Linked DNA regions of Kluyveromyces lactis. Each later gene encodes a partner of the first gene's protein in a complex. Links are inferred from orthologs where the notes say so. Each region holds a gene or a part of one and is shown in the gene's direction. Other genes may lie near its edges.

Region 1 (2,644 bases):
CTCTGTCTTTATCTAGTAGCCATTTGACAAAATCAAAGTCTATATCAACTTTCGCCGTATTTGGCAGCCATTTCATGAGGGCACCATGAAAGAATAATACTGGAGTTAACAACCATCCTGTAAGCTCTTGTGGATTATATTGAAGGTTTCTCTTGATCCCAATAAAGTACCCACTTAAACCACCTACAAGACCAATTCTAGATTGTGCAAGTGACTGAGTATCCAGCAAGGATTCGGCATTATGTGTTTTCGAAGAAGTAGGCAGCTTCCTCATTATTCTCAAGGCAAATCCGGATAATATATGTATTGATATCCCAGTCCAAATCAACTTAGATCCAAGTCCAGATGTGAGTTCTCTAACCATCATTAAAGCATCGTTTGGAAAAGAGGAGGGCTCAAGAGCAGGAATTATTAGGGCATTGATACCGTGTAACGGAAAGTACGTTACTAGAGGGAATAAAGACCATTTTTGCGTCCACCTTAGCCATTTCTTAATATTCAACACTAAATTGACGCTGGCATCCTCGGGGGTTTTTGCTAAATCGGGGTCGATGTGTTTGGTCGGAATGGGCTTCAACGGTGTCAATTTCGCAGCAGTCATGAAGTTTATCAATTATAAGTCAGCGAATCACGCACTTGTTCATATACTCAAAGGGCAAGTGATATTTCTGAGAATCTTGGTATATCTGTTTCTTAATTTGATGTTGGCTTATTCATTACATTCCATCTTTACACATTGCATCAGAAAAGGAATATTAAAATGTAAAAACCATTACACGAATCGATGAAGGTAAAATAAACAGAGAAATAACACAAATATGGCCTGTGAAGGGTACATGAATGGTTGCATTTGAATATTACAAAGAATATACTTCATTTTTTCTGCCTAGATATTTATCATCATAAGATAACTCCAGTATAGGATTGAATTTACAGTATTCACGATGTCATTACCTAGTTGGTGCCCCAGGTATGACAGCAGGAAACACGACCCAAAAACTGGGGAAGAAGTTTATTGTATATGTAAGAAACCAGACACTGGGGAGTTGATGGTAGGATGTGATGGATGTGATGATTGGTTTCATTTTTCCTGTTTAAAGATCCCCGAGAAATATAGAGATCTCGTTTTTTCATTCTACTGTTCGTATTGTAGTGCTGGAATTACAGGACCGGCATTGATAAATGGCGGCAAACTACCGAAAACTCTTTGGAAGAGGAAATGCAGGCTCCCTGAATGCTATACAGAGTGTGATGCCAATTCAAGAAGCAAATATTGTTCAAAGAAACATGCTGTTCAATACGTTCAAAGCATTGTTGATAAGTTAAATCTACCTGGCGTAGATAAGATTGCATTGTTGAGACAGCTTCTAAACGAGACAACATCATTGGAGGAATTTAAAACGCTAGGACGAGACAAGCTTCCAGAAGTCACGTCACCTTTATCCAAAGATCAATATTCCAAGTTGCTAGAAAATGATCAGCATTTAAACAAATTAATTAACGAACACGATGAGTTGGTTTCGGTCAAGCTTTCAAAACTAAATGAAGAAGATGCAGTAATAGAGAAATACGTCAACTGGATCGGTGAAGTTAACGAGAGATTATCCCCACATTTCAATCAGCCTACAGGTCGAAAGAAGTCGAAAAGTGCAAGTAAAGTTACAATATGCGGCTACCATAATGAGTTCACGATCCCTCGGTCAGTTGAGGAGTTTTTAGATAAGCTACTTCAGTTGAAAGAAGACGAAAACAGTAATATCACATCAGTTGACGGTGTTTGTGTAAAGACAAAATGTGCTAAGCATCAGGATTGGATTACATTGTCCCAAAACGATCTCTCGGAACAGAAGGACTCTCTAGAAAACGTCAAAAGAAGACTCGATTTACTAATTAGCGTCAGAACGAACCAATTGAGAATCTCATTCTTCGAACAAGAGATGTCCAATCGCGTCCTACCCGGTGTTAAGACCTAGCTCATATCTAATGTGTCACTTTTCTGTCATTACAATGAAGGCGAAACGCTTATATTTAACTTGTAGCATCAACTAGCAAGAAAAGCATGTATAAATAATTTAACCTAATACAAACATCAGGTTTTTCATATGCTTCTAGTCCAATAATTGAACGTATATAAGCTTTATCCTATCGTAAACCTAATTCATCTAATCGTCACATAGTTAAAGTCACTTACCATGTTATTCATTCTATGAGAAAACAATATAAAAATGAAAAACCAATGAGCTCAATATCACCATTAAGGTCTGGTTGTTTTACGAAATATAAAGGGGCAGGACAAAAGATAGCAGACATACCTTATAATTGTATCTCCTATTAGGAACCTCTATTCTCTCGCTGTAAGTTTCAAAGATATTGGTTTTGTGGTAAGCGTTTGGAGGAAGCTTTTAAACACATAAACTTACAAACAAAATATGGCAACAGATATCAGAACAAACAAGGTTAAGAACGAAGAGTTCAAGATCTGGAAGAAAACTATCCCATCCTTGTATGAGCATATCTCTACATTGCAACCTAAAATCTTTAGCCCTTCTGAAAGTGCCCAGTCACCTGAAAGGAGAGTTTTGTTCACCGAACTTATCTCGGAAGAGGCAGATAAGGGTTTATTGAACACGTCTATTTACTATTC
Region 2 (1,672 bases), on another chromosome or scaffold:
GATAATGTGAATCAAATCCTAAGTCTGAAAATAACTTGCAAACCTCATAAAACTGGTCATTCGATATGGATCTTGTCTCAACCTCAATTTCAAACCCTCTTCTAATTAGATCGTTCAACTCAGAATATAATTTATATCCAACAATGGTGACCAGCCATTGTACGAGAAGTGAGTAATGTCGTATATTTAACCCGAGTTTGTGTAGTGCTCGCTCTAAAGGTAAGAAAAGAGGCTGTATTTTCCTTAGTTGAAGTTTTATTGTTAGGATGTGTTTTGCCAAGCTCCCAATAGTCAATGGACTTTCAATAGTGTTAGTCATATGCTGCATTTCATTGTCAAAGCTTTGTAAGAAACCTCTTGTGACATCGAGTAAACGGTTCTTATTGTCGTCCAATCCATTAGCATCCGAGTACCTTAGTTGGTCAATCCATCGTGTAAGTCGTTTATTCACATCTTTTAACTCATCCTCTGATTTATTCACTAAATTACCGTAGGTGAACCATGTTAGCTCTTTTCCGTTTCGAATATTCATGGGAAGTTAATAGTTCATATCTTTCAGGTGTCATACACAGGGCTCAACGTATAACAAGAAGCTCTATTGCTCCTGCCACTTCTTTGTTGAAGTGCATCTTGAATGGAGGTTTGACTATTGAACTATCTTGTCTTGGCCAAAAAACTGGAAATTTTGGCGATTTTGCAGACCTTTTCTTTGCAATTCAGTGTAAGAAATTGCTACCTTGGTCTGGTATTGATGGTTTCACAATCACCTAAGGGTAGTACACGGCATGAATAGTAATGGTAACGATTTGAAAGAAGAGTCTTTAGATCCTGCCAAATATTTGGCGGAAACTTTTAAGAAGGAGGGTCATTTAGACAGTTTAAAGAATGAAATACTATCTCAAAATGTAGAGGGTGATATTAGCTTGGACGAATTCATAAAGAGCCGAGTAAGGGATTTAGTTCGTGATAGGGTAAATGAAGATGAGTCTTTAATTTTCAAGAACAGAGGTACCACGACTGCTCTTCTTGAGGGCCAATTATTTAAAGACGGATTCAAGAGTTTAAACACGTCAAATATCGATGTGGAGAAGCTTCTGAGTGATTCACTTGACGATGCGACGACGAGACAAAAGATAAGAACTATCCTTGAAGCCAAAACTAATGATAGTTGATTGAACAGATAAAGTAGCAAGGCTGCTACATATATATTTTACTTCGTTAACTAATGTAATATAATAGGTCATCGCAACGGCGACTCTTAAATTTTCTACCGGCTCTATCAACACTTCTATATTTAAATCTATCACCAAGAATTGTATAGGCTAAAGATTCTTCTTCATTGATTGGAATCTCGAAATCGAAAGTTGTTCCTTTCTTCGGTATGCTTTTCAATTCATCGACTAATCCGCCTTTCGTTATGATTATGAATGTCTTTTGAGCATCCCATATTACAATACCATTTTTCCCAGTTAATGACTTGTTTTTGGATTTAGATACCTTCAACTTACACCCGTTATAATCAGCCATAGAGAGCTTGATCAAAGTTTGCTGAGAGTTCAAAGGTAATGGATTTCCAACTTTGTGATTATCTGGGATGTTCAACAATTCTTTCATGTATGGACACCATATATCTTCGAACATGGAGGAGAAAGTTTCAAAATTCGGCAGTTGC

The links.
Region 2: SPP1 (region 1) and SHG1 share a complex: the UniProt entries of both Saccharomyces cerevisiae proteins name them as parts of the set1C/COMPASS complex. The link is inferred for Kluyveromyces lactis from reciprocal best matches to the Saccharomyces cerevisiae genes SPP1 and SHG1.

What each region holds. Positions count from the first base shown.
Region 1 is NC_006040.1:618,686-621,329, forward strand, and holds SPP1 (Spp1p), read left to right. Parts: upstream 1-944; coding exon 945-1,973; downstream 1,974-2,644. Other genes in the region: MCP1 (Mcp1p), read right to left, coding at 1-601; KLLA0_D07282g (uncharacterized protein), read left to right, coding at 2,430-2,644. UniProt on the Saccharomyces cerevisiae protein: Component of the Set1C/COMPASS complex that specifically mono-, di- and trimethylates histone H3 to form H3K4me1/2/3, which subsequently plays a role in telomere length maintenance and transcription elongation regulation.
Region 2 is NC_006042.1:196,914-198,585, forward strand, and holds SHG1 (Shg1p), read left to right. Parts: upstream 1-785; coding exon 786-1,172; downstream 1,173-1,672. Other genes in the region: KLLA0_F02167g (uncharacterized protein), read right to left, coding at 1-532; POP4 (RNase P/RNase MRP complex subunit), read right to left, coding at 1,219-1,672. UniProt on the Saccharomyces cerevisiae protein: The COMPASS (Set1C) complex specifically mono-, di- and trimethylates histone H3 to form H3K4me1/2/3, which subsequently plays a role in telomere length maintenance and transcription elongation regulation.